5 linked regions of the Rattus norvegicus genome follow. The protein of the gene in region 4 interacts with the protein of the main gene of each other region in a biochemical or structural test. Links are inferred from orthologs where the notes say so. Each region holds a gene or a part of one and is shown on either strand. Other genes may lie near its edges.

Evidence for each region.
Region 1: of the proteins of Jun (region 4) and Mapk9, one has a biochemical effect on the other in vitro, tested with the Homo sapiens proteins (17 studies listed by BioGRID and IntAct, with this or other methods). The link is inferred for Rattus norvegicus from reciprocal best matches to the Homo sapiens genes JUN and MAPK9.
Region 2: the proteins of Jun (region 4) and Fbxw7 form a complex in vitro, tested with the Homo sapiens proteins (3 studies listed by BioGRID, with this or other methods). The link is inferred for Rattus norvegicus from reciprocal best matches to the Homo sapiens genes JUN and FBXW7.
Region 3: of the proteins of Jun (region 4) and Prkd1, one has a biochemical effect on the other in vitro, tested with the Homo sapiens proteins (2 studies listed by BioGRID). The link is inferred for Rattus norvegicus from reciprocal best matches to the Homo sapiens genes JUN and PRKD1.
Region 5: the proteins of Jun (region 4) and Atf3 form a complex in vitro, tested with the Homo sapiens proteins (2 studies listed by BioGRID and IntAct, with this or other methods). The link is inferred for Rattus norvegicus from reciprocal best matches to the Homo sapiens genes JUN and ATF3.

Annotation. Positions count from the first base shown.
Region 1 is NC_086028.1:34,704,324-34,710,438, reverse strand, and holds part of Mapk9 (mitogen-activated protein kinase 9), read right to left. Parts: coding exon 5,989-6,115; intron 4,649-5,988; coding exon 4,524-4,648; intron 3,542-4,523; coding exon 3,478-3,541; intron 2,593-3,477; coding exon 2,524-2,592; intron 2,152-2,523; exon of another isoform or gene 1,471-2,151; coding exon of another isoform or gene 1,466-1,470; coding exon 1,323-1,465; 3' UTR 1-1,322. UniProt on the Homo sapiens protein: Serine/threonine-protein kinase involved in various processes such as cell proliferation, differentiation, migration, transformation and programmed cell death.
Region 2 is NC_086020.1:172,603,021-172,608,312, reverse strand, and holds part of Fbxw7 (F-box/WD repeat-containing protein 7), read right to left. Parts: intron 3,658-5,292; coding exon 3,432-3,657; intron 1,913-3,431; coding exon 1,702-1,912; intron 692-1,701; coding exon 423-691; 3' UTR 1-422. UniProt on the Homo sapiens protein: Substrate recognition component of a SCF (SKP1-CUL1-F-box protein) E3 ubiquitin-protein ligase complex which mediates the ubiquitination and subsequent proteasomal degradation of target proteins.
Region 3 is NC_086024.1:73,770,720-73,777,521, reverse strand, and holds the start of Prkd1 (serine/threonine-protein kinase D1), read left to right. Parts: upstream 1-3,115; 5' UTR 3,116-3,396; coding exon 3,397-3,654; intron 3,655-6,802.
Region 4 is NC_086023.1:115,008,926-115,015,563, reverse strand, and holds Jun (transcription factor Jun), read left to right. Parts: upstream 1-2,570; 5' UTR 2,571-3,428; coding exon 3,429-4,433; 3' UTR 4,434-5,664; downstream 5,665-6,638. UniProt on the Homo sapiens protein: Transcription factor that recognizes and binds to the AP-1 consensus motif 5'-TGA[GC]TCA-3'.
Region 5 is NC_086031.1:105,292,123-105,298,842, forward strand, and holds the start of Atf3 (cyclic AMP-dependent transcription factor ATF-3), read right to left. Parts: upstream 3,623-6,720; 5' UTR 3,470-3,622; intron 1-3,469.

The sequences.
Region 1 (6,115 bases), on a different chromosome or scaffold from region 4:
CATCTTACCAAATCTCGAGTAATTTACAGATCAGGATCTGAAAGTATCAATTTCAGGTGAGCAGTTTTAAATCAGAAAATATTCAAGAATGAACCCCTAATTCTCTAGAATATTTCTTCTGCGTTCTTCTGAATGTTTCTAGAACATCTGAGGAATTCCCTTAGAAAAAGGAAATGCCTCCACAAAATGGAAAAGGACAGCAGCAAACATGCATGGTAAGTAAGCCCGGTCTCCTAAGAGACCATGTGCTCTGGCTGGACGTGGTGGCTTCTGTCAGTGAGAAAGACAAGTTAGGCAATGCTACAAAAGGAAAGGCTATGAGACCCAATCACCTTTCACCTTAAATAAAGAGAGGGGAGCAAAGGATGGGTGGGCTCAGGGAAGGAGGCACCCACCCACCGTTCTGGGGAAGCCACCCTGTCAGCTCTACATTAGGCAGCGGGGCTCAGGAATCTGCCGATTCATTCTACTGAGATGGGGTGCTTTGTGATAAAGAAGGTGAAGTTCTGTGAGGGATTCTAGATCCAAGTTCAGAGGACCAAGAAAAAGGAAATGTGTGGTCAGGATTCAAGGTGACATAAGTCGTTAAGCAGAGTGAAATACAACTTGGAACTTTGTCATGCAGAAAGCTGTACGTAAAGTTTCCCATAGTGGGCAGTTTAAAGGACACAGAGTGTCGATATAAAGCAGTGGTAATTCTCAGCCTAAAACATCACAAATTTAAGAAAAGCTGTAGTTTTATTTATTAAATAAATTTAATTATATTCCTTCTGAAATACAAAAGACAGAATAAATCATACCATAAAAGTGGGTAAAATATGATAATATGATAGTGGCCAATTCATACACATGATCTATTTTTTTGTGGACAGACACCAAATTACTAAAGAGGATTAAGAGATTATTCTAGAAGCAGAACTACCTGGAAGATTATTTGGCATTTAAATACTGATTCCCAAAGTGCTACATGGGCAAGTTCAAGCAAGCATTTGTGGTCACATGCATACGAGTCCCCACAGTTACACATGATCTGTCACCAAGGACACCACACGACTGGAAAAAGAAACTCGGCTATTCTAATTGCTCACCTGAAATGATCTTGAACAAAATTTCTAACAGTGTGGTTTGTACTTTTTCTCCAGACATCGTCTGCCTCATGTTACAGTCTACGCAGGCAATCCTACTGGAACTGAGTGGGGGCAAGGCGTCGTGTTTCTTACATGCAGAACATGGAGCTTCTTGATTTGGTTCCACCAGCTCCCATGTGCTCAGGGCCATGGAAGCCAGAGTCCTTCACAGACAAGTGCGCCATCTGCGAGGTTTCATCGGCAGCCTTCCAGGGGTCCGGTTGAGGCATCGAGACTGCTGTCTGTGTCTGAGGCCAGGGTGTGCTCAGTGGACATGGATGAGATGTCATTGATGGATGACGACTGAGAAGGAGTAGCCTTGCTGCTTACTGCTGCATCTGTGCTAAGAAAACCAAACGGAGTAAAATCTGAGGCACGGCATCCTGCACGCCAGGCGTGGGGCTTCAGGCTACTTCTCCATTCTGTGCTTGGTAGTTTCCGGATCCTAATGACCCACAGAACCAAGACTGCTCAACTACACTTTAAGCTTCTGGGATTTTTCCTGGAGTCCTTTGTTAGTTCAGTTTCGAAATCAGTCTTGGGCTTTCCCTACAATAGTCCCCTGTTCTGCCCGCACCACGGGCAATGTGTATGTGGTCACATATGACCATGTTGATGACTTAAAAGATATACCTGCTAACTTCAAATAGACCTTAAGAGAAAATGGATGAATTCTCCCTACAACTACCACAAGAGGCTTAGGCCTGAGAAGGATTCAAGTGTGATGAACATTTCATCCACAATAGACAAACCTCATCTGTAGGAAAAACCATCAGGATTCAAATGAATCTTTTGTGATAAAAACACTTTCTAAAATATACACCCCAGGGGTTGGGGATTTAGCTCAGTGGTAGAGCGCTTGCCTAGCGAGCGCAAGGCCCTGGGTTCGGTCCCCAGCTCCGAAAAAAAAAATACACCCCAAAAGATAACTTTAGCGCCTGCTTTAGATTTTATTTTTGTCTAGTGAGTCAAGAAATCATTATTTTAATTTCGGAGGTAAATAAAGCCCTCCTACCTCCTACTACCCATGTGTTACTGTGGCTGAGAAAACTAAAGCACGTGAATCTTAGGTCTGCACTGACATCCTTTTTTATAAACTGGATGGATCCAAGCAAAGAGGGCAACACGTTTCAAACACGTTTCAAATCCAAACCCCTTCCTCTCTAAACAGAGCTGGCGACGACTACAGCAAGGTTACAACAGGGACGCTTCAAATGCAGCTTAGGGCTGGCACCGCAAAAAACATGAGTGCAAAGCCACTGCACCAGCATCAGGGCAAGCAGGAAGGTAACAATGTCATACAAAGATAGCCAAGTGACATTAATATATCACTGTCATTTATAAACATTGAGTAGGTAAAGAAATATGAGACAACAAAATTAAAGCAATCACCAACCTGAAGGCTGGTCTTTCACCCCATTCTTGCTTCTTTCTTCCCAGTCCATCACTTCTTTGTAAATTAGTTCTTCAAAGAGAAACAGAAGTCGAGATGCTTAGGTCATTTCCCCTGCACCGAACTCTGCCTCCAGATCCCAAGAGCCACCCCAGGCCCTGGGATGTCTCAACTTCCTTTGGCTACCACATGTTACTAGGGGCTCACATTAGCAGCATACTGCAAGCATATACTACTGTGCGTGTTGCCATGGTGACTGTGCATGAGTGGGCCACTGGCATGTCAATCTGGAAAGTCTGATCAGTGCTGACCTGCACTGACTATGGCCCTTAGTTACTGTAACCTGCTTCCGCATCATAATGGAAGCTTCCAGGGTCTGCTTCTTGTTGACCATCTTAGTTCACTCACTGTGACTGGGGTTCATCTTGAAGTGCTAGTAATACCTTCCTGCTTATTTTTGGCAATTTCCTCCAGACTAGATTTTAAAATACGTAACTACATGGTTTAATATACACATTCAATTACATGTGCCATATCTGGGCTCCCCCATACCTGCTTAGACGGGATCTGTGTAAGGAATATGTGGCCTGTATACTGGGTTTGCTCCAAACGTCCACGCTATCAAGAAGTGTGAACACTTAGGGGTGTGACCAGGCCACACATCAGTGTGTGATGATGGAAGTCACACAGAAGTCCTTTGCTTCACCTGAAGGAAATTATGATGCCATACATAGTCTACTCTAACATGCTAGTGTCACAGTCGTTCTCAGCTGGGAAGTGGAAAGAGAGGACACTGCGGCTTCTGGCTTTCAAGGTCCTTCCAAAGAGGCTAGTATGAATAAGTAGTAAAAAATGTGTTCTGGAGGGTTATGGGAACATGTTGTGGTGGACTATGGGAGTGTGCTCTGTACGACTATGGGATCGTCATAAGAAAGGATCTAAACAAGCCACTCTTACCTTTCCACTCTTCAATCGCATGCTCTCTTTCTTCCAACTGGGCATCATAAATTTGAGGTGGTGGCTGAAATGATATGTCAGGTCGATAGCTCAAAACTTATGGGCCATGCTGGGAAGATAACACTACTTAGAATGTTCCGAGTCTACTCATGGATTTATTTTAATTAACATGTTCTAGATTTTTCTTGTAAGCATGATATATTTTATCAGTTTAAAAGACAATTACAGAAAGTTAACCAAAAGCAAGCTATCAGTAATAAATCTCAATAATCACATGACCTCAAAATGTTCTGCAGACATTGCACAAGTGAAGTTACAAAATTAGTAACAATAGGCAGCTCAGAGGGTCAGCTGTGTGGGAGCTGAGTGAGGTGTGGTATGTTCTTAGAAAATACTTCCAGTTCACATTCTTCATGACAGAACACCCATGCACAGGCCACAAGCTCATGAATGGAACAGTCCATAACTTGGCTGTTCATAAATCTGATTCTTTTGATATAACATAATGTTACAATGGCAGTTAAATCTAAACCCAGGACACAACAGTGTTCCACCACTGCCATGAAGTAAACTCCCCACGGTGTATTTCCCTCATAGCTAAGGATCATCACACGAGGGATGCTATGAAGAAACAAGCCCAGATGCGGCGGGGAGATGTGAGCTGATGTGTCTCTTGGGAAGGCTGCTTAGGCTCTCTGACTTGAGGGACTGAATAAGATGTAAACAAAGCTCATAGCCCAGTGCCAGGCATGAAGCAGGTGCCTCATAAATTATTATTACACATCAGCCTTATCAATATAAGGTCAGCATACACCACAGTACACTCCTGAGCATTCTGTAGCTACAGCCCCAGCGGCAAGTGCCACCAGGGTTACTGACCTAGGCCTTAGACAGCACTTGTTCTACTGCTTAAGTCAGGACCCTAAAACTAACAACCTGCTGTGCTCATGTAGCCATTCTGGGCCAGCGGAAAGAGGACCCAAAGACAGTGGGTCCTGGATTGTACAGTGAGCCCTCTACACGGACATTTTCCAAAGAGAACTTACCGCTTCTGCTTCAGCGGGGTCATACCAAACAGTAATATACGGGTGGCGCAAGGCTTCGTCCACAGAGATCCGCTTGTCCGGATCAATCACTAACATTTTCGATAACAGATCTCTGGCTTGACTTGCTAGGATGTAAACAAATGATGCAATTACATTGCTACCGTGGAAAAGAGGAACCACATAATAAAGAATCAAACAGAAAGTATGGAGGGCAAAGAGACATGCTGACTTCAGAAGATGTGTAAGAGGTTCAAGACCAACACAGCTTACACCTTTAAAAGCCCAATGGCCACTATTAAAACCAGGCTTTTAGCATGTGAGGTGAGGGTACTAGGTAGCCTCAGACCAGTACCCAGATGACCTGAAGCTATGAAGCCACAGCACAGCGGGCAGCAAGCACCTCTCTGAAGACTGTGCTGCCAGGAGTGTGGACATCATGTAGCAGGAGCATTGTTCTTTGGGTCACATTAGAACAAGTTTAAAACCTTCAGAGTAACACACACAGTCCCAGAGTATAGTTTCACAGGCACCACTGCTTTGCCTAGCTGTATACAGTGTTTTTGTTTTTAATCTAGAGGTTAGTAAGAAAAAAAACCAAGAAGCTAATTAACTTTAATTCAGAATGCTCAGTAAGGTCCCAGCAATGAAAAATTCACAACATATACAGCCAAGGAAAAGTCGGGGCTTTTGTGACCAAGGTGCCGCTCACCCTGGCATAGAGGACAGCAAAGCTATTGTTTTTCCTCAGGTGTCCACATTCTAGGAAGGACACAGAAGGGCAACGAGGGCCTTTTCCACTGGACCACACTTAATAGTTTCTGTCTAGAATCCTTACTGAAATGTTCTTTATATTTGAAATGGTTTTGAATTAGGATTGGTGACATTACAATATGGGTCTTGTGTGTGTGTGTGTGTGTGTGTGTGTGTGTGTGTGTGCGTGCATGAACATGTGTGGTATATGCATATGAATGTTTGAGTGTGGGTAAGATGTACTCTGAGGCTAGAGGGGGAGTTGGTGGTCTTGTTCTCCTCCTCATTCCTTTATGACAGAGTTCCTCACTGAACTGGAAGCTCCCAGTTCCCCTACTGGCTGGTCAGCAAGCTTCCAGGATCCACTGGTCTCAGCCCCAGAGGGTGGGTTACGGGCACAGGCAGCCATGCTTGTGCCTTCTGAGTGATGCTGGTGATGAAAACTCAAGTTCTCACCCTTATAGGGCAAGTGTGTCTGCCCGAGGCACTTTCCCACCCTATAACCTAAGGGTTTGCAGACTGATCTGAATCTTTGGCTGCACTGTTGTAGCAAGGTCAAGACTCTCGGCCTTTAAAGTTTTCCTCCTGTGGTGCCTTTGAACATCAGACTGTAAGAGCCTCTATTTCAGGGTTTCTAGCACTTCACCTCTTAACATACATGGGCTTTAGGGTTCAGGTGTTAGAGAAACAAGTGCAGGATACAAGAATGCCTTACTTTTTATTTTGTCTCGTTCGGATTCTGACGGAAATATCCAATCTGGAAAGAGCTCTTCAAATTTGATTCCAGGGTACTTTGGTCTGTTTTCCACATAATTCCTTACAGTTGGCTGAAGTTTCTTCAT
Region 2 (5,292 bases), on a different chromosome or scaffold from region 4:
CCCGTGTTTGGAGATCACCACCACTGCTCCTTGGTGAAGGTAACAACGCTGATGAAGCTCTGCCCAGTGACCACTGGAGAAGAAAATAAAGAACAATTGCACCTGGTTGGGTTTAGAGTCTCCTTTCGCCAAGCTGCCCCTCAGTCAGAAGTGAGGCCTTTGGGTGATGCGACAGCTGCCGCCTCCGGTCAGTTACGGTCTCTTGTCTTCTTCTTACCTCCTTAGTCTGTAGGTCTTTTCAGTCTGTTGTCCCAAGCCAACATCCTGCACCACTGAGTACAAGGGATTTTTTTTTCTTTTCTTTTTTCTTTTTTTTTTCTGTTTTTTTTTTCATTTTTTGTTTGTTTGTTTGTTTGTTGCGAGGGGGAAGGGCAGGGAGTATATTGTCTACACAGTCGGACAAAATTCATCTTGTCTGCTTTTCATTTCATGTCCACATCAAAGTCCAGCACCAGCAGCTTGGTCTCCTCAGTCCCATTCCGACTCCCAACTGCACACACCAGCTTCGTGTTTGAGGCCCTGATCCGCCACACGACTCCCCCGCTCCCCCCACTCTCCAATGTGACTAGGTTTCGGATAAATTCACCCGTTTTCAAGTCCCAGAGTTTTACCGTTCCATCGTCTGAGCTGGTAATTACAAAGTTCTTGTTGAACTGTAAGCAGGTCACAGCGCTCTGATGCTTGCTGGGACCTAGGCAAAGGCAAAGGGTGGTTACTGCTTCGGAGCGAGGCTCAGGGGCTTTTGCGTGGGACTCGTGCTCTCTACATTAGAACATACAAGAAACGCAACATTTGAAAAGCTGTGCACTTACGACCAGTTTAGGACCAGCTTGGATGTAAGAAAACCTGGCAGCCATTTGTAACTACATACCAAGTCTCAAGAGCTCTGGCTCCCAGTAGCCCTGGTCAGCCAGCGCACGTGCTCCACTGCTGGATAAAGGAACATGCAGGTCTGTCACTCAACCATTCTCAACTGACCAAAGAAGGAGGTGAACCTGTGACCAGCCCAAACTCTTAGGAACAGTCACAATTATAGAACAAGGGCTTCCCTGTGCTGCCTCCTGATGGCTTCGCCCCAAACAAACAACAAACAACAAACAAGCAACAACCTTCTAAGGGCCTGACTAAGGGGAGAAAGTTACTCATGAAGAGCCCAACGGCTATACCTAATGATGCTAATACTTCTCACTCGAATCTTTACTTCAGAGAGCACCATTACCCTTCCATTCCAGCTGAAGGAACTGACTAAGCAGAGGTCAGAGTAACTTCCTATCAGAGATGCTTCAGTTCAAAATAAAATGTTCACTCAAAAAAAGCATTGCTCTGTGAGACAGCCAAGTCTTTCTTCTCATTGTTAAGTTAAATAGAGTCAACAGAACACGTAGCAAATGATTAAGAGTTTTCACAGTAGGGGCTGGGGATTTAGCTCAGTGGTAGAGCGCTTACCTAGGAAGCACAAGGCCCTGGGTTCGGTCCCCAGCTCCAAAAAAAAGAACCCCCCCCCCCCAAAAAAAAGAGTTTTCACAGTAAAGACACAATTGAAAGACATTTCTCAAGGTGGCCTACTTTTGAAAGCCAAACATTCAGAAACTCATCAGGAGCAGGTGTTCTATATAAGGTTAAATCTCTGTTCCACACAGGCTCTCTCTTGGATAGCAGTGACACTTCCACAGAACATGGCTGACGGAGGGCCAGACTTACCTTGCAATGTCTGTAAACACTGTCCTGTTTTGATATCCCAGATTTTAACTGTAGAATCTGCATTCCCAGAGACCAGAATATTGTCTTTGAGTTCCATTCCACTTGTTAACGACTGGTGTCCTGTTAGCGTGTGAATGCAATTCCCTGTCTCCACATCCCAGACTCGGATTGATGTATCAAGAGATCCACTCACCACATGGATGCCGTCAAACTACAATAGACACCGAGGAGAGTATTAGAACAGAAACACAGGTCCCTGTCCTCGCAGCTGCTAACCTTACTCACAATGGGGGTGGGGTACAGGCAGCATGCTGGCCAGAACAAAGAGCATCCTGGGGTGAACTTGCAGGTAAGCTGATGTGCATGTGATGTCCATGTGAGTCTGTGGGTCATGTGTCCAAAATACTACAAAGGACCCGATATAACCGTCATTACTTTCAGATCACCTGGTCCCAGCATGAAGCTACATCCCATCCATGTATTTCGTAAGAATGCAGAGTCTGACTTGCCTACAGGAAGCCGAAGACAGAGCTCAAGATAAGACATGCTTATCAGCACCCAAGGCAAGGGAGTGGCCACAGATGACTTTCATGATATTCAACAGTAAATTCCACCAAAAAGCCTTTGTAAAATGAAGTTGTTTACAAAAACTTAATGCTAATTAGCATATATCCCAAAAGAAAACTGTATCAGGAATTAGAAGAGGTGGCATTTTAGTAACAAAAGCAAGCTAAGTAGTCTCTTCTTCAGCTTCCCAAGGATACTAAAAGCCAATAAGCACCCACCAATCCCCCAGAAGGTATATATAACATGCAGCTATCTATTCTGAGATCATTCTCTGTGGTCCTGAGCACATCACAAGCAGCAACATTAGCAACCAATCCCTCCCCTTGGAAGCCATCATCTCTTCTGGAGTAATCAACATCCTTATCATAGATCAATACTTCATTGCTTGGGCAGTATCATCAATTAAGAATCAGATGCCCTAAGAACAGCGACATCAGCACCAGGATTCTGTTCTGCTTTGCTCATCACTAACCGGCAGTAGTAACGGGGAAGGAAATTATGTAACAGGAAGTACTTTAGGATGGAAAATGCTGCATTTCCAGAAATAAAAGTAACCGCGTTTTATGTCTAGTTTCTGAAGATCTTGAAATATTACAATCTATTAATAAATATCAAGTTCAAATCTAAAGGAAAACAACAGGTCAGTCAAATTCGTCTCTCTGTGGCTTCCAGTCAGTGGCCTTGGGCAAGTACAGGACTTTCTGCAGAAAGGTTCCACGGCTACTTCAAATGGCAATGGGGTCGCAATCACATGCTCCATCAACTTTTAGCTATCAAGACAAAGGGGCAGCTTTTGGTCAAATTAATCCTCGGCTAAAGGACTCGTAGCAAAATGTACAATCCTGAAGTATCAGGTTCTAAGACAATATCTGTATTTTAAAGAAAGAATGGATCACAGAAATTGAAATCGTTAAATGAGTTACATGATTTTGGAATCTGTGCTTCTTCATGCTAATTTTTTTTTCTTTTTTTCGGAGCTAGGGACTGAACCCAGGGCCTTGCGCTTGCTAGGCAAGTGCTCTACCGCTGACCTAAATCCCCAACCCACTTCATGCTAATTTTAAAGTACATATAAGCAGCAACTGGACAGTAACTCTCTGAGGAGAACAATCTTCTGAGTCATCGGCAGACAATCTATGGGTGGGAGAAACACGGTCTCTTACCTGTAACGAATAGACTCTATTAGTGTGTCCCTGTAACGTGTGTAGACAGGTCTCGGTCTCTGGATCCCACACCTTCACCATAAAATCATATGCTCCACTAACAACCCTCCTGCCATCATACTGAACACAGCGGACTGCTGCCACATGGCCCATCAAGACGTGTAAACACTGGCCGGTCTCAATATCCCAAACCCTGAGAGTGGCATCTCGAGAACCGCTCACAACCCTGCAGAGAGGAACAGAACGAAAGTTAGACAATGAATGCACAGGGCAGAGGAAACCGCTGCTTTCTCCTTTTTTCTTAAACAGAAATCCTTTCCCAAGAAACGCTAATGCCTTTAAATGCAAATTCCAGGTACTCTGCCTGGAATGAGAAGTGAGGAAGACTTGAAGCTCAACTGGTCACTGGCTTATGGGCCTTGGTTCCACCTCAAGGCTCCATGGTCCAGTTTAGGGAGCACTGTACTGCAAGAAACAAGCACCTGTCCACACATACAGCAAGATCCTGGGCAGCAGGATCCTGGGCAGCAGGTAACGGGGCACATGCAGGATCCGCCATGCACCTCCAGGGGTATGAACTCATAACAATCCAGAACGTTCCCTCTCTATGACCTCTGTCATTACATTACACTGCAGGTTCCTACTACCTATTCGAGTGAAGAAAAATCTCAGCACAAATTATCTTTAGACAAAGGAAGAGTTTTAAAGTGACTTTGGGACTCAGAAAGCCATGGCTGTTTCCTTATGCTCCACATTAAGGGAAGTCAGTTTCAGACGCATGCTCACAGCTGGTGACTCACAGATTGTTAAAGATGTTCCTACAGCAGTAACAGCAGTGCCTAAGAAACTGTCGCAGTGCCACAAACACTATCCTCTTCTGAAAAGCAGAGTGAGACAGTCATGCAGGTACCTCCAGATTCCCAACCAGGCACCTTTACGTCATTCCCTAGACATAAGAGCCACTCTCCATTTTAAAGAGTGGAGTTCAGAAGTGTGAGATAACGAACACAACAAAAATGGAAATGTTATGTCCTTTGAAACCCATCCCTAAACTGTAATCACTGTGCAAAGAACACACTGTGCAAAACAGGCTCAAATTTAGGAGTGAAAAGGAGCCCCGTGTACAGCACAGCTGTAGGGAGCCTATTTACAGCGATGGGTCTTGATACAAGGCAGGATGGACAGAGCTGTGGTCATGCGTGCGTGGAGTCCACGTAAGGACCCTTCTAAGATACATGCTTTCAGAGCTGTGAACGCAAGGACCCTCCTGTCTCTACCTTCTCCGTGCAAAGATGAGCAGCCAAAAGCATGCTTTCTGACAAATGAAGTAGAAAACACAGCCTCTTAGCTGGGCGCAATGAAGATGGGTCAACAGAAGGACCTGAGGTTAGCAGAAGCCTGAGATACAAAGCCCCAGGCAGAGACTGGGTGGGAAAGGGCAAAGAGGCCAGGCTTGGCTGAAACCACTTGGAAATGGGACTGAAAGTTCTCCTTCATTTGGTGGGCAGAAGTAGGGCAGCAATGCCAGCCTAAAATGAGGGCTCTCTGTCAGCGTGCAGAAGGCCAGAGGACCCCACACCTGAGGCTCTCCACAGCTCAGATGACCAGTACTGAGAGTAAGATAAGGCCCCTGGACCTCAGCATGTCTACAGCAGGGATGCGATGGACTGGGGACAACGTGGGTGTGGCACTCAAGGACTCAGGCTACAAGTCCCAGTGACTAAATCTGTTGTTCTTGCACAGCATAAATATGAAAATCAAGAAAGAAAATGATTTTTGTTTAAAGATGATGAATCATCAAAACATCAAAACAGATTAGAGAGCAGAGTTTGAAGAAAAACAGCCATACGTCAAATGAAGA
Region 3 (6,802 bases), on a different chromosome or scaffold from region 4:
TTGTTGATATTAAATAACTAGATAATTCCAAAATTATTGGGACATATAGCCTGTTTGAAAAACACCTGCAAGATTAGCATTGTTCTATGTACCCTGGTCACTCTTTTAGGGTAGAATGCTGATGAAAGCCTTGAACCTTCTTGGACGACGTCATTAGACCTCACCAGAGTTATCTCAGCAACAGTAGGCAAAATTCAAACTGGTAAGCATTCATTTCAAAAGACAGAGTCATTAATTTGAGTCACAACTTATTCCCCATTTTCTTTTCCAAGGGTAGAATATCTTGAAGGCTTGAAATCACTGATGCTCTCCCAAATCCTCCAAGTTTGTGGTGCATTATTTTGTAGTCACAAGAGAAATATACTAGGTTCCTTAGGATATATCCATCCGTTCTTTTGCCATTCAGCAAAAGTTAGTAGCAGTTGGCAGCCTTCCAACCTTCACATGCCTACCCTAACAATTTCCACACTCACTGGGTGTGGCACATGGCTGAATTCCCAGCTCCAGTGAGGAGGAAACAGAATCATAGCCCATTGAGGTCATCCTTGCCTAGAGAGTGAGATGCTGTCTCAGCCCTGGTTCCCCACAGGAAAGAAACTTGGACTCTCCAACCCTGTGTGTCTGTGAGTATGTGTGTGTCTGTATGTGTGTGTCTGTGAGTATGTGTGTGTCTGTGAGTATGTGTGTGTCTGTGAGTATGTGTGTGTCTGTGAGTATGTGTGTGTATGTGAGTATGTGTGTGTATGTGAGTATGTGTGTATATATGGGGGGTGGTGTTCTGCTGGTTATAGAGTTCAAGTGGCTTTAAGTTTTTTGTCCTTGTGTTGATTCCTTTATTTTTCTTCATCTAGTAATGGTGTAGGCCCTTAAAAATAATTTCATTTTCCTGGGCCGTTTCTGTCTTTTGCTTCCTTTTCAACCATTTCCAGCACCCTACAAGAATCTTTCACATCATGGATACAGCATAAGGAGTTATTCACAGTTTTTTCTTCCAAAGTGGTTCACCCATGTTCCTATGTCTCTTATAAAACTGATCAGTATGTGACATTGCTTTGGGAAACCTTGTCTTGCTTTGAAAAGACCTCAAATATAACTTTGACCTATTTCTTTTCTTGACTATGGGATCCATAAATCTGGGTCTGGTTATTACCATTTGAATGTTTAGTGTCATTTCAAATGTACATGCTTTAAGAATGAATCTAACTTCTCCCCATCTGGCTTCTTATCTGTCTTCTGTATCAATTATTAGCTGCAGGGAACCACACCAATTTCTCAAAAAAACCTTTGAGTCTTTTCTGACACTTCTATTTCCCCACCACTGGAGAATGAGAGCAAAGAGCAAGGCCTTTAGTTTGGCCTCTACATTAAGAACTGTAGCCTTTCATTTCTCCACACCTCCACTACCATCACAAGGATCCTGCAGGGGGAGGGGCAACAGCTAGGATCCCTAACCTACTGCTCCTTTTTATTTCTTTCTCTTATGATTTGTTTCCTGTGTAAGAGCCAAAGAGTGATCCTTTAAAACATGTTAATACATTCACTGGCCTGTTAAATCCTTCTCAATGGTTCAGCGGTGCATTGAGAATAAACCAGAAACAAATTAGTACAGCTTTCAAGAACTGGTTTCTATCTGCCTGCCAGCCTCATTTCTTTCGTGCCTTCAGGACAGCAGGTGTAGTTGATCCTCTCTTGGGGTCTTTTCTCTTCATATGACTAGAAGGCCATTACCTAAGCTTGTCTTAAGACTAGTCCTTTCCATCAATCAGGCCTTGGCTCAAATGGAAACACCGTAGGAAAGATCTGTGTTCTTTACTGGCCACAGTACTTAGCCTCATGTTCTTGATCATGGTTACTGCTGTTTGTCAACCATACTGATAATTAGGGCAACACAGTGTTACACTGTTAATTAGGGCAATTGTTGCTATGAGAACTAACTTTATTTACTGTCTTACTTTTCTATTTTCAATGTAATCTGTTATGGCAAGAACATAGTCAAACTTCATAAGTGGATGGCTAGTGCCAGCAGACTCTGGGACAGCAGTCCTCCTTTCAGAGCTAGGATAGCTAGAAAACACAGATGTCTCCCACTCTGGCCACTCTTAGGTAAAACTAGGTGCTTTAAAGTACTCTGTAAACTTAGGAACAGCACCCTTATCCTGTCTACCCAAGCAGTACTTTGTACCACCAATCTAGAGAGTTTTCTAGAATAGTGAATGACTATATGTAGTTGTGAATTTTAAGATTCCATCACTGACATAAGACACAACCCTGTAGAAAACCACATTTCAATGAACCATTAGTCAAGACAAGACAAACAAACAAACCAGAACAAAATTAACACACTGCAAAGAAAACATGCAAAAATTGTTTTGTGCTTGTGCATGTAAGAGGAAACATTGGGGAAGCTGAAGTGAGAAGTAGGGCTGCCAAGATCTTCAGAATTCTCAGAAGGTTTCTGATGCTTTTCATTGCAGCTTGTTAAAGCAAATAGGGCTCCTGTACATCTACAAACTCAAAGAACCGACCCCGAAACAAAGACAGAAATATAATAAGGCCTAAGTTCTCCGAAGAACCTCTTTTTGCTCAGCCACCAGTATAATCAGATCAAAATTAGTGCTGTGGATGTGGGGCAGGAATCACTCCTAGAAAGTCAGGTTTAGATTGACAGTTTTGAAGAGGCTGAAACACAGAAGTTCCAAACACAAAACAAAGTAGAAAGCAAGAACCCTATTCAGACCTTGCTCTTGCCTGCCCTTAAGAAGGCGGTGGGTGGAGCAGGTGGGGTTGATGGAAAGGGTACAGACTATTACTAGAGAGACAAGGGTTTAAAGAAGTCAGCTGACTGGGCGCCTACCCTTTAACAAACTCGAGGGCTCCCAGAGGGAGTCCCCTGTTAAGTGGGCTCTGCCGGGCTGGCATTCCCGGGTCTACTCCTGTAGGATCCTTTGGAAGGGGTGGCCAGGACTGCCCTAAATGGGCGGGTCCGCGGCGCTAGTGTCCGCCGAGTGGGTTGGGGCGGCTGCTGCGCACAGGGGGCGGCTCCCCGCTGGGCTCCCGTTCCCCTCCTCGGCTCCGCGGCGCCGCCCTCGCCCCGCCCCGCCCCGCCGGCGCCGACCGCGCCGACCCGCCGCGGTCCCCGGAGCGGAGCGCGCGGCGGCGGCAGTAGCTGGGCGCCTCCCACGCGCTGCCGCGTGCCCGCCCGCTCGCCCGCCAGTCTGCCCGTCCACCGGCCCCGACTCCGCTCGGCCATCTTCGCCGCTCCCGCCCTCGCCAGCCCGGGCCGCGCGCCCTGTCCCCGCGCGCGGACTTTCCCGGAAAGTTTGGTGGTTGTTTTCGGCCGCCGCAGGCAGCGGCGCCGCGCCCCACCTCCGCCAAACTTTGGGGCTCACTCGCGCCATGAGCGCCCCTCCGCTACTACGGCCGCCTAGCCCGCTGCTGCCCGCCGCGGCCGCTGTGGCCGCCGCCGCTGCTGCGCTGGTCCCGGGCTCCGGGCCCGCGCCCTTCCCAGCGCCTGGGGCCGCCCCGGCGGGGGGCATCTCGTTCCATCTGCAGATCGGCCTGAGCCGCGAGCCGGTGCTGCTCCTTCAGGACTCCTCTGGCGACTACAGCCTGGCGCATGTCCGGGAGATGGCTTGCTCCATCGTGGACCAGAAGGTAAGGTGCCCCGGGTCCGCCAACTTTGCAGCCGGCCTCGCCCGCGCCGTACAGCCTGGTTGTGGCCGGGTTGCATGCTCTTACCCCAGGCACTGCTCTCCGGGCCGCGCAGTCCTCCCGGGACTGACCTCCAGCCCTTCTTCGCTGGCATGTCTGCCTTCTCACCTTTACCTCCCTTCCTCCGGTGACAGTTCAAGGAATCTTACACTTTTCTCCTTGCGCTCCAGCATATTTTTGAGATTTCCTGGCTGTCCCGACTCCTTTCTCTGGACCAGAGCCTACCTGGTGTCAGATCCACTTCCCAGCACCAGAGTTCCCTTGGGACAGCCCTTCGCTTTTTCAGCACCGCTCCCTTCCACTCCATCCTCTTTCAGCTCTAATTGATGCTGCGGAGTTCCGGGTGTGACCTGGACGCCAGGGATTTCTCACCTGCCAATAGTGCTTTTAAGAAAGGGTGATTGATTAAGCCAGCTGTGAAAACAACTGAGCAGTTGGTGCACACTACCCAAGTCCTCCCTGGATTTAGTACCACCTCTGTTGGAGCTAAGAGACATTTTCCAACAATAAAACCTGAAATTTACAGCATTTTGTGCTTAAATTTCCATCCACTGATCTTGGGAGACTGGAGTAGTGAGAGGGTCTGTAGTTCCAAGAACATCCAGTGCTGGCTTTGCCCTTAAGTTTGAGGCGATGCGATTCTGGATAGCGGTCATCAAAGACTGGTTGGAGAAAGGCTCATAAGGCTGGGCTTGGCCACCCACCATTGTTTCCAATGATGAATTCCACTTTTGAAGTTAGGTTATCTCCACAGCCATCCAGAAGGATGCTTCATGTAAGGTGGAGGACCCTTGCATGTGCCACTCCTTCCCAGTGTGGACAGCCAGGGCTCTGGGGGAGGAGAGAGAGATAGAGGAGAGGGTTAAAGGTGCTGAATTTCAACCTTGGAGGGCTGACTGGCTACTTCTCACCTTTTAATGAATAGTCACCATCTTAAACTGTTTGGAACAAAGTGTCCTACACTTTTTGAGCACAGAGTTCTAGGGAATTGCTCCTGGGAAGCACTCACTAACCAGGAAGTGAAAATTCTAGAGGCCAGACTCAAGTAACAGTGAGTGCCTTGAAGTTTGGTTAATTAAAGGGAGTGATTTTTTTCCTTATGTAATTGAACTCTTTGTAGCTCCCTTGAAGTACTGAATTCAGTCCTCCCTCTTCCTGGAGATGGTGAACATGCAAGCATTCTAGGCTCTGACGGCCTCACTATATAGCTTTCAAATGTTTCTGTTATGAAATGGATTGATTGATTATAAAGCACTGCCACACAGGCATACACAACACATGTAATAAAATCATTCACAAAGCCCATTCAGTTCCATAACAATTTAACAGGACGTTCTAAAGAAGATGGTATAGTGTTAGAATGTCCCAATGGGCTAGATTAATGAGGACAAACTTTGTTTTGACCTGCTTAAACTCTCTCTTTGTCTCTGCCTTCCTGCCCCCCCCCCCCACGGTGTGTCTGTGTGTCTGTCTGTCTTTCTGTCCTTGAAGTTGTGAATGGTGAAATACGATTCAAGAGGTTTGGGTTGGGCTTTTGAAGAAGAGTGAATTTCACTTGACTCAGGGGGCTGCTATCTGGGGAGTGTTATCAGCACCCAGGAGAAGTGTAAGCAAGAGGACATACAGGTGCAGCAGGCTGGAACTTCCTCAGTAGGAGATGTAGGGAAGGTTCACTTATGAGAAAAGTCTTGAGATGATTAGAAACTTACATTGTAAAAAACTCAGTAATCTTTTCAAAAGAGATAACCAGACCGGGCGTATCTGAGATCCACATTAGCTTTGTGGAGGGTGTTTTAGAATGGCAAAAATGTAATGGCAGAAAGAAAACTGGAGTACAGTCAAGTGCTGTTTATATCTGAGCCAAGACTTGGGGAGAGCTGGAGGAATGCTGGAAAGAGAAGGGCACCAGTCTTGCTGGCGCTTTCTAAGGGGAATCCTTTCTTTATTGTGTTTATTTTGTAGCTTTTCACCAAAAGAAAAGTTTGAAAACTTTTCCTGGGATAACCATAGCCTTTTTTTAAATGGGTCTGGCAAGGTTAGAAATTTTGAAATGTGAATTTTATAATACATGATATTATAAGTAAAAATACTAAGTTATGGGTCTAAACAGTGTGCCTCTTCAGTTATTCTCTCATCTATCGATGTAGATATCAATAACCTATTATCTGTATCTGTCTTCATCATCTATCATCTCTCCAGCTGTCTGTGTCAATCATGTAACTATCAATCACCTATCTGTTATCTCTCTACCTATGCACCATTTGTTTGTTATCTATGGATCTTCTGTATCGATTTTTGGCATATGTTATTTGCCAAGACAGAATTCTTGTGCTGTGACAGCAAGAGTGGGTAGCTTGCTAGTATAGAGGTAAGGAAGTGGGAGGGGGCTTTTGTCCTTTGTCTCATGGTTTCTCTTAAGCTTCAAGAAGATAACAACTGTGAGGAAGAATGATGGGGGTGGGTGGGAAAGAGAGAGAGAGAGAGAGAGAGACAGAGAGAGAGAGAGAGAGAGAGAGAGAGAGAGAGATCTATACATACAGGTTTTTAAGAAGAAGGTTCTCTTGATTTTTATAGTCCTTCTATTTATTGTTTCAGTATTAGGGGGCTTTTTATCTTGTCTGTGCTCAAGAGCCCCTAAAAACTAACATGGACGCTTAGCTCGTTGGAAGTATTCACTGACAATTCAGTTGACTTCAGCAGTTTTGTTCAGGAGACCTTCTCTGTGGGATGAGCAGCTGAGGTGGACAGGGCTAAGTAAGAGAGCTTCTGTGCCAGAGAAACTTTGCTTGAAGTTACTATTTAGTAGAACTTAACAATGTAGTTTTTTCCTTAATTTGCAGGTTTAGAAAATAGCAGATGTGTGCTCATACTTGATGAAATTAGATGGTAATTCAACAGAAGTACTTTTAAGGTATTATATCCTAACCATTTTGTGAGTTATAAGTTAGTAATACTTTTTTAATCTGATAGTTCAGTAATCTGGGATGATCTCTTTCTTTGCATGGAAGAGTGTATGAATACATAAGAGGTTATTAACTCTGCCCTTTTGGGAGATTGAGCTAAGGGCTAACTTACAATATTTATTTACTTT
Region 4 (6,638 bases):
GGCTAAAAAGAGCAGAAGCTGGACTGTGAAAAAACCCTTCTCCCAGGCAAAGAGGAAGTTGATGATGGCTTCCAAGCAGCACAGCATTAACAAGAGCAGGGATCTGTTTTGCCTTGATGAAACTGCTATTTCTTAACCTAAGTGGAAAATCAGCCTCTTAAAACCACAGGAGGCAGAAGATGCACAGAACCCCCTTGGGCAAAAGATACATAATTACACAAGGTCCTAGGTCTGGGAGTTTCTAAATACAGGAACAAGGGAACAACTTCTATGCCATCAGTACCACTCTCCAAACAAATAACTATGACTTTAAGGGAAAGTTTGCCAGAGCCAGAAAATACAAAGGAATGTAACACAGACCTGAGCTCACTTTCCAGCTGTCTGTATACCCCAAGCAAGACGCATGAACTTTCTGGGACCATTTCCTTCCACGAAAAGTCTAGGTAAAAATGTATGCCTCCCAAGATAGCTGTGGGAAGAAAACAGCATACTTAAAACTGCTTGGACTAACTAGCAGATTAGTGTTTAATAGACAAAACTTACTTTTATTACTGTTATCATAAATCATGTAGAATATGAGCTCCTTGGCAAAAAAGGATGAGGGCCGCGCACAGAGTAACTCGGTCTCCCTTAGGGGGAAGTAAATGTATCTCGACTTCACAGAAACCCTGCTCTACCCTGCCCCCACCAAGGTCAGCGCTTGGCTGGCAGCAGCCAGTTACCCTCTGCAGCCGGGAGTGAAAAAGAGCTGGCAGGTTTCCCACCGATACCAGCTGCTATTGGGTTCTGAATACTCAAAAGGCAAAATATCTTAAGGCACAAGGGTACAAACCCTGAGCTGAGTTCTGAGGCAGCAAAGTCCAAATTAGAACCTAGGAACTTAAAGTCCAACTTTAAACCTCAAGTCCTAGGCTGAAGGGCGGCTTAGGGAACAGCTGGTTCCCGGTCCTTTCCTACCTCGCTTAGGAAAATACACTGGCTCCTGCCAAATCACAACCCAGTATCCTCCAAATCGTCCCACCCTCACCCCACCCCACCGAAGGCCTGGGGTAACTCCGAAGCTGGTAGGGAAAGGGGCACCAATTGACCACCTTCTAGTCTCAGAGTCAAGACTAATGCCTAGCAGCCCGATGTAGTGGATGGACCTCATCCACTCTACTTCTAGATGAGACCAATAAAGTTCAGAAAGTTCTGAGATTTGCACTTTTGCCCTGGGAGAACCAAGCTCGCCACCTCTTTAGTCAGTCTTAAGGGGTAGAGGGTGGAGGGCGGATAGCAGAACCTTAGAAAAGAAACAACTTACATGTGTCTAGCGCTTCCTAGAGGCCGCACAGGATATGAATCCACCATCGAGCGGGGAGGGGATTTTTCAGTCTTTCTACCAGGGACTCCTGCTTAAGCACCGTGACTCGGGGCGAGTCCGCAGCTCTCAAGGCTTGTTTTCCCAGAAGCAAATCAGGGAGGGAGGAAGGGCGGGCGCGAACTGAGTGTGCGCGGGGCTGTGTGTATGTGCTAGTGCAGGCGAGCGCTGGGGTTTCCTGAGTTTCGAACCTTTATATGTTGCTTTCCATACCCCAAGGAGCCGGGGTGGCATCTTTCACACCTAGAAGGGGGTCCCTCCGAGGTAAAGCGAACCCCTCCCGGCACGTCCCCAGAAAATGAAGTGTTGTGCCGGGGACCCTGGTGAATTCATTCCGAGCACAGCAAATCTCTGGTTTCCAGCACAGCACACTGCGGCGCAGATCCTTCTCCGAAACTAAACTTCCATGCGCACTCGGCGTGGGAGGGCCACTCTCAAACCCGCTCAACTTCAACCCACTTGCCGCTCCCGCACCCGGGGCGAACACAACCATATTAACCCGCGTCGCTCTGTCTCCCGGAAGTGCGGGGGTGCGGAGCCAGCTTCAATCGCCCAGATCATTCAGCCCTTTCACGGGTGTGTTCGTGTGTTCGTGTGTGTGTGTGTGTGTGTGTGTGTGTGTGTGTGTGTGTGTGTGTGTGTGTGTGTAACCTCTACTCCCACCCAAGCCCTCCGCCCCAGGCCACCAGCGCGTCTCCCCAGCTTTCTGGATCCCCGCGTCTCGGTCTGGGTCCCCAGCCCTGAACTTGAGCCCGCCTCCGACAGACTCCGCAAGGGTCCAGCGGACCCGGCAGCCTCCGTCACTAGACAGCCAAACCAAGACGTCAGCCCACAATGCACCGGGCGGGCCGGGAAAGACGCGCCGGGGAGGGAACCCGGGAACACAAGCCGGAGCAACGCGCGGGAGGGGGAGGGAGGTGGAGAAAGAAGGGCCCAACTGTAGGAGCGCAGCGGAGCATTACCTCATCCCGTGAGCCTTCGCGGGCCCAGAGAAGAATCTTCTAGGGTGAGGTCTCCATGGCGACGGGTGGGCCCGCCCCCTTGAGAGCGACGCAAGCCAATGGGAAGGCCTTGGGGTGACATCATGGGCTATTTTTAGGGATTGACTGGTAGCAGATAAGTGTTGAGCTCAGGCTGGATAAGGACTCAGAGTTGCACTGAGTGTGGCAGAGACTGCCTAGCTGGAGAGCGCTCAGGCAGACAGACAGACGGACGGACTCGGCTAACCTGGTCGTCCGCGGACTCCGGGCTGTTCATCTGTTTGTCTTCATTTTCTGACCAACTGCCTGGATCCAGCGCCCGCAGCTCCTGCACCGGTGTTTTGGGGAGCACTTGGAGAGTCCCTTCTCCCGCTTTTCCCGGAGAAGAAGCTCACAAGTCCCGGCACTGCTGACAGCATCGAGAACGGCTCCGGACCGCGCGAGGAAATAGGCGAGCGGCTACCGGCCAGCAACTTTCCTGACCCAGAGGACCGGGAACAAGTGGCCCGGAGCGAACTTTTGCAAAACCTCTTCTGCGCCTAAGGCTGCCACCGAGACCGTAAAGAAAAGGGAGAAGAGGAACCTATACTCATACCAGCTCGCACAGGCGGCTGAAGTTGGGCGAGTGCTAGCCGCGGCTGCCTAGCGTCCCCCTCCCCCTCACAGCGGAGGAGGGGACAGTTGTCGGAGGCCGGGCGGCAGAGCCCGATCGCGGGCTTCCACCAAGAATTCCGTGACGACTGGTCTGCGCCGCCGGAGAACCTCTGTCGCTGGGGCTGGTCCGCGGGCTCCGAGGAACCGCTGCTTCCCGAGAGCGCTCCGTGAGTGACCGCGACTTTTCAAAGCTCCGGATCGCGCGGGAGCCAACCAACGTGAGTGCAAGCGGTGTCTTAACCCTGCGCTCCCTGGAGCGAACTGGGGAGGAGGGCGCAGGGGGGAGCACTGCGGTCTGGAGCGCACGCTCCTAAACAAACTTTGTTACTGAAGCGGGGACGCGCGGGTATCCCCCGCTTCCCGGCGCGCTGTTGCGGCCCCGAAACTTCTGCGCACAGCCCAGGCTAACCCCGCGTGAAGTGACCGACTGTTCTATGACTGCAAAGATGGAAACGACCTTCTACGACGATGCCCTCAACGCCTCGTTCCTCCAGTCCGAGAGTGGCGCCTACGGCTACAGTAACCCTAAGATTCTGAAGCAGAGCATGACCTTGAACCTGGCCGACCCGGTGGGCAATCTGAAGCCGCACCTCCGAGCCAAGAACTCGGACCTTCTCACGTCGCCCGACGTCGGGCTGCTCAAGCTGGCGTCGCCGGAGCTGGAGCGCCTGATCATCCAGTCCAGCAATGGGCACATCACCACTACACCGACCCCCACTCAGTTCTTGTGCCCCAAGAACGTGACCGACGAGCAGGAGGGCTTCGCCGAAGGCTTCGTGCGCGCCCTAGCTGAACTGCATAGCCAGAATACGCTGCCCAGTGTCACCTCCGCGGCACAACCTGTCAGTGGGGCGGGCATGGTCGCTCCCGCTGTGGCCTCAGTAGCTGGCGCTGGCGGCGGCGGCGGCTACAGCGCCAGCCTGCACAGTGAGCCTCCGGTCTACGCCAACCTCAGCAACTTCAACCCGGGTGCGCTGAGCAGCGGCGGTGGGGCGCCCTCCTATGGCGCGACCGGGCTGGCCTTTCCATCGCAGCCCCAGCAGCAGCAGCAGCCGCCTCAGCCGCCGCACCACTTGCCCCAACAGATCCCGGTGCAGCACCCGCGGCTGCAGGCGCTGAAGGAAGAGCCGCAGACGGTGCCGGAGATGCCGGGAGAGACGCCGCCCTTGTCCCCCATCGACATGGAGTCTCAGGAGCGGATCAAGGCGGAGAGGAAGCGCATGAGGAACCGCATCGCTGCCTCCAAGTGCCGGAAAAGGAAGCTGGAGCGGATCGCCCGGCTAGAGGAAAAAGTGAAAACCTTGAAAGCGCAAAACTCCGAGCTGGCGTCCACGGCCAACATGCTCAGGGAACAGGTGGCACAGCTTAAACAGAAAGTCATGAACCACGTTAACAGTGGGTGCCAACTCATGCTAACGCAGCAGTTGCAAACGTTTTGAGGACAGACTGTCAGGGCTGAGGGGCAGTGGAAGAAAAAAATAACAGAGATAAACTTGAGAACTTGACTGGTTGCGACAGAGAAAAAAAAGTGTCCGAGTACTGAAGCCAAGGGTACACAAGATGGACTGGGTTGCGACCTGACGGCGCCCCCAGTGTGCTGGAGTGGGAAGGACGTGGCGCGCCTGGCTTTGGCGAGGAGCCAGAGAGCAGCGGCCTGTTGGCCGCCACGCTTTGCGAACGGGCTGTGCCCGCGCGACCAGAACGATGGACTTTTCGTTAACATTGACCAAGAACTGCATGGACCTAACATTCGATCTCATTCAGTATTAAGGGGGGTGGGTGGGGGCTTACAAACTGCAATAGAGACTGTAGATTGCTTCTGTAGTGCTCCGTAAGAACACAAAGCAGGGAGGGCTGGGAAGGGGAGGGAGGCTTGTGAGTACCAGGCTAGATTGCGGATGAACTCCCCTGGCCTGCCTCTCTCAACTATGTATGTACATATATTTTTTTTTAATTTGATGAAAGCTGATTACTGTCTATAATAAACAGCTTCCTGCCTTTGTAAGTTATTCCATGTTTGTTTGTTTGGGTGTCCTACCCAGTGTTTGTAAATAAGAGATTTGAAGCATTCTGAGTTTACCATTTGTAATAAAGTATATAATTTTTTTATGTTTTGTTTCTGAAAATTTTCAGAAAGGATATTTAAGAAAACACAATAAACCATTGAGAAGTAGCCCCCAACCTCTCTGCTGCATTATCGATAGATAATGAGAGCTAGGTGAAATGACAGCTGAGTGTCTGTATGCTGGGGTGAGAGCCTGTAGTCCCTCCCGTCTGGTTGTAGGAATAGACACCCTGCATGCTATCATTGGCTCATACTCTCTCTCTCCCCAGCAACCCACAAGTCCAGACTGTTGACCAGAAGATGGTGCAGTGTTTCTTAAGGCTGGAAGAAGAGGGTGTTGCAAGGGGAGAGGGACAGCCCACTGGGAAAGCAGACGCTTGAGTTGAGAGCCATATCAAGTAGCATGCGCTGTGATCGTTTATAATAATAATAAAGACTTCAGCAATTAGATGTTTATCTCAAAGCAGGGACCCATGGAAGGTTTTACAAAAGGTGTCTCCTTCCAACTTGGATTCTGACGACTCCTAGAAAAAGATGACCTTTGCTTGTGCATATTTATAATAGTTCGTATCACAATAAATGTATTCAAATAATGGTTTTAAAAATCTTGAATTCCTTTTCCGTTGCTAATCTTTGTTTCCTAAGCCGCACACTGAAGATTTTCCAAGTTTCTGGGGGAATTAGTGCATTCTACACTTTGCAATTTAGAAGCCAAGCATTTAGGAAGAGTCAAAGGAGGATCTGGAACCTGGGTGACTCTTCTCCCAACCCTCTCCCAATTCCCACTTGGCACCCTCCCCATCCCCCCACCTCTCGCTCCTACCAAGGAAGTGACCAGTGTAGTGAGTCCTTATTTAATTTTTAATTTGTTTCAAAATAATCAATCTGGCTTAATTATTGAGGTAGTCTGGGAAGTTCCTAGTATATATACTATGGAGCGGAGTCACAAGAGAAATGACTATATAGCACATCTGTGATCCAAACCTCAGCTCCGGGGAGACAGAAAACCTGAATCGTGTCTCAGATACAGCTGAGGTTATCAACAGGTTTGTATTCAACGAGGGAATCATTTTTGCCTGCTCCCTTCTCATCCCCATGAGCTGCTGTGATTATCAAGCAGCAACAGCAATTTGATATCCAGGAACACTTCAGAAACCACTAATTGAAGCCTGGCTGTTAACTCATTAGCACTGCTCCAATGCTCAACGGGTCTGGGAGAGCCTGTGGTGGTAAATCCAAACACACAATTCCTCAGTACACCTAGGTCTGCAGAGGCCTGGACAGGCTTGTGGGTTATCAGACGTGCTCCACTGTAATAATGCTCCTTGAACAAAGAGTTACTGGGAGTGGAGGCACTTTCCCAAGCAGTGAATTTGCTGATGTCAGCAACCCGGGAGGTGAGTTGATTTTGACCATATGTAGGAGTAGCAGAGGGACAATAAAGCACTTTAGGGTGGAGCTCCGTGGAAGTTAAACCAGTGCAAAGCAGAAAACTCACACGGGTTGGGAAATGGATAACCTGCATTGCTAGACTAAGCCTAGACAACAGCACAATGGAGAAATGCCATGGCACTCCCCG
Region 5 (6,720 bases), on a different chromosome or scaffold from region 4:
AGAAATTCCAGGGTAGTGATTGCAGAGTCAAAAGAACTGGAGAAATGTATATTCAATGCTCTCCCAGACGGGAGCAAGGACTGAATGTCTCTTAACCTTGTGGCTGAGGGATGCTGTTTCTTTGACTTCTGAAGTCAGGGGCTCAGCGTCCTCCCATACACACACTCTCCTTCCCCATTTTACTGGAAAACAGATCAGAGCTGCCACTGGCCTGGCCGTCCAATCTGTAGGACTGAATAGTTCATCTATACTTAACTGGTTTGAGCCATAGCAGTTGAGCATGTCCCTTTTAGCCACCCAGTTACGTTTATTAATGAGCCCTTTGAGGTTAAAGTCTGCTGTTTCGGACTTCCCCCAACAACATTCTTAGTGTAAATTCAGGAAGAAACCGAGGAATGTCGGTGGTGGTGGTGTGGAATGTTTTTGTGAAAAGCTGGGGGGGGGGGGTGGGGCTCACTTGGGGACACAATTGCATTGTAAAAGCCATTAAGAAAACTTTTCCCATCATCGTGGGGCATACTCTGCAAGATCTGGGCTCTTGTCCTTCCTGGTTTGTCTTGCACAGAGTTCTCCAGAGAGTCAGACTAGAAGTCAGGCTGTGTCCCTCCAGGGAAAGAAAGTTTAAAACTTCAGCTTGATTCCAGAAGCTGAGGCCCCAGAGAAGGGAGTGTTTGGGGGTTTGGGAATGAGCTGACTTAACTTTCTGCACTGATGATAAAACTCTCTTCCAGATTTGCTTCCAGATTCCACTTCTGTTTCATCACTACCAATCAGAAATTATGTCACATACGGTTGGCAATTTCGTCATTTTCAAGAAAATGAAACTTCCCTTATTTAGCTGGAAATTCGGCTCCTAGATTTTTATCTCCAAGTAGCTTATGATGGCTCTGAATTTTCACTTTTGATTTCCACTTCCTTCCACCCAGCTGTCTGCAAACCGTCCTGTAGTACTGGGGAATCAGTAGCTGCCTTCCTAACTCCACATCCTGTTCTTTTTCCTGTTTGAAGGCTGGAGGCAGAGGCTGCTTCAGGGTGGGATGAGACAGTATTCTCCAGTTCTATCTCTGGTCCCCACTAGTTGAGCATCCATTTACGAGCTGGATGCTTTCTGACCTTAGTTCCTATCTGAAAATTGTGATCAAGGTTGCCAATTCCCTCCCAGGGTTGTGTGTGTGTGTGGGGGGGGGACAACACATCACATGCACAAACATTAGAAAATCAGTATTCACATGTCCATTCTGACTCCACCTCCCCCCAGCCCCTCAGGGAACCTGATTAAGTTCAGTTCGGTTTAATTCTATTGATCAGGAATTGACTGGAACTATCAAGAATTTCAAGCTGGTGGTTGACCCCTGAGTTCCCAAGACACAGGGCGAATTACACCCCATTTGCTGACATCAGCACTCCTCCACTATAGTTGGATTGACAGAGACTGAGAGTTCTCACATAGAAAACCATTTCTCTCCTGAAGTTTCTGTGGCTTCCTGACTATGTCCCTCCTCCTGTGATGGGGAACCCCCGGTTGCCAGTTCCTTAAGGAATCACAGACTCCTGGAACATAGAATTATCTGGATCAAATCCCCATTTTGTCATTGAGTAAACTGAGGTCCTGGAAGGGGTAGCACTTGTCTAAACTCACAGAGATGGGTGTGGTCCGGTCCAGCCAAGCTGCTCACACCCACCCCTTGCTCGATTTGCACTACCACAAGGACCCAGCAGTTCAACAGATCAACCAAGTAAGCAATCATGGACAGAGCTGCCAGCCAGGTAGGCAACTATGGGCTGAAGAGTCCTGCACCCCCCCCCCAACCCCGTCATAGAAGAGGCTCTGACAGAATGGCTACAAGAAACGGGTGTGCCTGAGAAGGGATTTAGATAGCCACAGATGCTGGGCGATGTCTTCTTCACTCTGGACACCTGGTCAGCAGCCTCTGAACCCTCCAGATAGAAGCAACAGTAACCCCCACCCCAGCCTCAGCCCCACCCCCAAGCAAGAGCCTGTGTGTGGTAACACTATCCCATAGTAAACGCAACATGCAAAACATGTGCTCTCTTCTTCTCAGCACTTGGGGACTGGAGCTGGAAGATCTCCGTAAGCTCAAAGTAAGACCAGGTTACACGGGGAGACCTTGTCTCAAAAAAGTGGAACCAGGGGAGGGGAGAATAAACGTTTTAAATTATTGGACTTGGCAACTCCTTTAGTTTATAAGAAAGCTGGTGTGATGAAATCAAAGAAAATAAAATGGCTAGGAGGAAAACACAGAAATGGGAGTTGGGAATGAGAATGGGGTGGGAGCAGGGAAGCAACCCAATGGGAGAGAGTTAGGAGACAGAGATGCAGGAGAAGCCCCCATTCCTGCCCTGTCTCAGAGACCCGTTAGGAGAGCTGGGTGGGGAGCCCCCTCACTCAGCATTCCCCCCACCCCGACTCCTTTTATTTCAATTATTTCACTCGAGAAACAAATCTGTCAAAACCTGGCTATCTGAACCACGCAGCGCAGGCTCCCACACAGGCAGAGAGGTGTCAGGCATAGTGGCCTGTAATTTCAGCACTTGGGATGCTGAGGCAGGAGGATTGCCCGGAGTTTACGAGCAGTCTGGATTACAGAGTGAGACCCTGTCACAAGACAACTCCTCCCGGACCCCTCCCTCCAACAAGTACAAGTGGTCCCACACCCTGGTCCCTCCACCCGCTTGATCCGATTTCTTCGGCTCACTTCGAATACACCAAGAAATCCAAGGACCAGTTAAAAGTCAGCCAGAGCACAGCAATTCACAACAGCGAATGAGGCTGGAAGTGACGTCTCAAGCCCAGCCGACCGAAGTTAGCGGGTGCGGAGACCTCTCTGCCTTCAGCCCCGGGACAGCGCCACACCAGCGCTCGCCGCCTCCAAACTTATCCCGACTCACTTTCGCTCCCAGCCCTCTACGAGATCCTGCGGCCCGGAGCTCTGCTCCGCGGAGCGCAAGGCGACCTCCTGCGGCTGTGCGGACCTCCGACCGAGTGTTCCTTCTCCATTCATTTAGCTCCGTACCCGGAGCAGCGCTTCCACAAGCCAGGGCCACCACACCTCTCCGCGGACTCAGGAGGGACCCACTCCTACTCCAGAGCCCAGACACAAAGTGATGGACGGAGGAGAGGACCGCGACCCCCAGAGTGTGGGTCACCCCCGCGCACCAGCACCCACCACCCACCCAGAGGACCTCTCCTAGTTGCGAGCTGAGAGCGCGCGATCTCCTCCCAGGGCATCTTTCACGCCTCAAGTCAAAAGAGAAAGTTCGTTCTTTCACTTTACCAGAAACTTTTCCCCAGCCGGGAGCGGCGGCGGAGAAGAACAGCTCAGCCGAGCGACTGTGGTGCGGAAACTAGGGCTCGGGTCCCCAGTGGCACAAGGGTCCGGGGGATGGTCACCAGAGGGGAACTTAGGGTGGGGAGGGCAGCGCTCCTCGGCGTGGTTCTAATGCTCACCTCCAGTCTTCGCTCGGGGCGGCCAGGGTCCAGAGAGCGGCTAGAGGCGGGCTGTCTGTCCCGCCGGCAGGCGAGCGCCAAGGACTCTGCCGGAGCGCGGGTTGGTCGGTCGGCTCCGCCGGGGAAGCACCGTGCACCGCGCGTCTCGCTGAGTGAGACTGTGACTGGGAGCGCGTTGCATCACCCCTTTTAAAGCCCTCGCGCTGGCAGGGAGCCCGCTTAACTCCTGGTTACCAATCCCAGGCTGACGTAATGCTATTAATAGCTTCCAGGGAGAACTGGCCAGAGGAGGGGTGAAGGAGGGACGAGGGCGGGGCAAAAGGTGGGTGGAGACCGCGGACTTGGTGATGCAAGTGCGAGAAGGGGCGGTCACAGCGCGTCCTACGCGCCTCGCACGCCCGGGACACACACACCCGCCCGCCCTCTATCTCCATATCAGGCCGGGAGCCGCCCGGGCGCACCGCCAGATGTGCGTATTCGCCGCTGCGTGTTCCAGGCATGAGCCAATGGTGCCCAAGCCAGCGGCATGACTCCACCGCCCTGGCATCTCTCCCTCCGCTAGGTTGGGATGGGGGTGGGGGAGGGGTGCTGGGAGGCGGGTCCTGGCAGTGGCCCAGACTAGGTGAGGCTGGGAAGCGGGCACGACCTTTCTCTAAAATGCGTGGTCATTTTTCTAAAACTTCAGGAAAAGGCGCCTTCTCTGGCCAGCGGCCTAGCCTAAGGAGGAGGCGGGGAAGGGGTAGCGGAGACGATATCCCGCGTGAAGGAGGTACCCAAAGTTACACTCCGGTGAATCCACACGGTTACCGGCCCCTGTGACCTCCGCTGCCGCGGGCCCCCGCTCACAGCTGTGGGTTAACGTAGACATTCGGCGGCTTCGTGCTCCCACGCCCTGGCCGTGCACACGCAGGGGCCCCAGAACCCGCCAGGAACCCAAGGTGTCAGTGACCGGTCGCTGTCAGCTCATTTTTGTTTTTAATAACAACCACAAAACGTTTTTAAATGAACAGGGAATTCTCCGCGAAAGCAAGAGCTTAGAAAGGGGAAAGATTTGGAGAGATCAGAGGCCACCTAGCGCAGGGATAAGAAGGGGCTGGAAAAAGGCGGCTCGGCCAGTCCGGGAAAGAGGACGCTTTGATCTCTACGCGCCCAGCCTGGGCGGGGGTGGGGGTCCGCCTGGACGTCGGGAAATACTTAGAGAAAAACCGTCTCCAGGTTTCGAGTGTCTGTATGCAGGAACAGAGGGCTGTGCTAGGGACCCGGTGGCGGGGACTGAGCACGCACCGCTTAAAGCCGGAACACCGGGCCCTCTGTTCCCTAATCTGGTGGCTGGGAAGGCTGGGCGCGTACGGCTCGATTTCAGGCCAAGACCTCAGCAGACCTGGGTTTGAACCTCGAAAATAGTTTCCCGATTCTGATCCAGTGATTCCGACGGTCTGGGCTGAGCGCAAGACCCCGGACTGGTCCCCATAGCTCATCAAGGGTTAGACCTGCACACGGCTGCGGCCCAGTAGTCGCGCACCTGCCTGGGAGGCGTTCGTAGGCGCACACCGGGCTGGACGCCGAGGTGTAAAGGCAGAGGCACCTGCTAACACCTGCCTTTGAGAGGAAGGCGATCAGAAGGTCACAGGGTGGTAGTTTAGGGTGAGACGCAGAATTGTTCCGTGCTGCTGCCCCATAGCACCTGCCACCCGGACGGTTACGGAAAAGGTCGCACACGGTATTACGCCGTACCCAGAGACAGACACTTCGGGCAAAATCAAGTTCTCTGCACCCGGGTTCCTTCAGTCCAAGGCCGACTCTCGACCTTCACAGGCCCCTGCCCTCCATCCAGGGCCCCGGAATCTCTCTGTCCTTGTCCTCGCTGGAAGCCTGGGGTGGTTCCATCCCCGGGATTCCCTTTGATCCTGCCAGGATCTGACGGGATTGCAGCAGCGTCGCGCGGGAAGCGCCAGGCAAATGTTTTGCTTTGGTTTTTGCCTTGGTAACGCTCTCGGGGCCCCACCCTCCATCTCCCACGCCCACACCCTGCTCCACACCTCCACCGCCCGCCCTCCAGCCGACCTGCCCTAAGGTAAACCCGGGGCGTGTCGGCACAACCCCGAAGAATGCCAGGTGCCTAGAAATGAAAGTTGTTTGGGATCTCCTCGTACCTGCCCCATCTCTTTAACAGGCTGCCCTGGAGTAAATAAATAAACACCACTATCCAGTGTAACAGGGAGATGGGGGGGGGCACACGAACCCTGCCCCCAAGCCTCTGGGAACCTCTACAGAAATCCTTATTGTCTTACGGATTAAACCGGAGTTCTGCTAATACTCGAGCCAGATTTATGGAAGTGGGTCCTGTCTTCAAGTGGACAGCCTTGAGAACCCAAGCAGCAAGGCCAGCAGTTCCCTCAGAACCGTGAAGAGTAACGTGGACAGAAGTCCGCAGAGCTTTGTGGGCATCTGGTCATGACCGTGGTGCCCTCCCCCACGCCCGTCTCCCTGCTGTTCTAATCTTTAGCTTTCAGTCACCACGTCGCACCTAGATAGAAACTCTTAGTTGTTTACAGAGCTCCGAGTCCGACATCATCCCCTCCCTCTTACTGAAACCCTAAAAGCGATAAGATTCTCCAGGGAGAAGTCTGCCCACCCCCACCCCCTATAGGTTGGATGAACCGCCTATCCTAGGCAAACAAAAGTCACTTTCTGCCGGACTCAGTCCCCTAGGCTCCCAAGAGAATCATAAAGCGCCTGAGGAAAAAACGGGAAGGAAGAGCCCCAAGGTCTGGACCAAAGGAAGTTGTCAACATCTGAGTCTCCTCGCCTCCCACTTTACCCTGACTTAATGCCCCCAGTGTGCAGCGTGCGCAGTCGCCCATACGCACGGGTAGCGCCACGCAGAGGGGCAAGAAACATTCCCAGCGCCCAAATCGCTGCCCGACACAAAGGCAAAAGAACGCCTGTCCAGCCGGAGCAGGAAGCCCCTGGCTAACGGGATTTCAGGGGTTAATCCCCAGTCAAAGAGGGTTAAGCAGAAACTTGAATGAACCGCCCGGGGAGCCCGCCTGCAGATCAGCGCTGGTCTGTTTTGCTGAGTGAGATAAGAACAGGAGACTTCATGCTGAAGCATGTACCAAAGGAAGTGGGAAAATTAAAAGGGGAGGAGAAGGAACCAGGCAGCTAAAAACAGTCCCCTCGTGGCAACCAAAACTAAACACAAAAACATTACAGGGAGCCAAAAGCAAAAAAGGAAAAAAGAAAGTTCA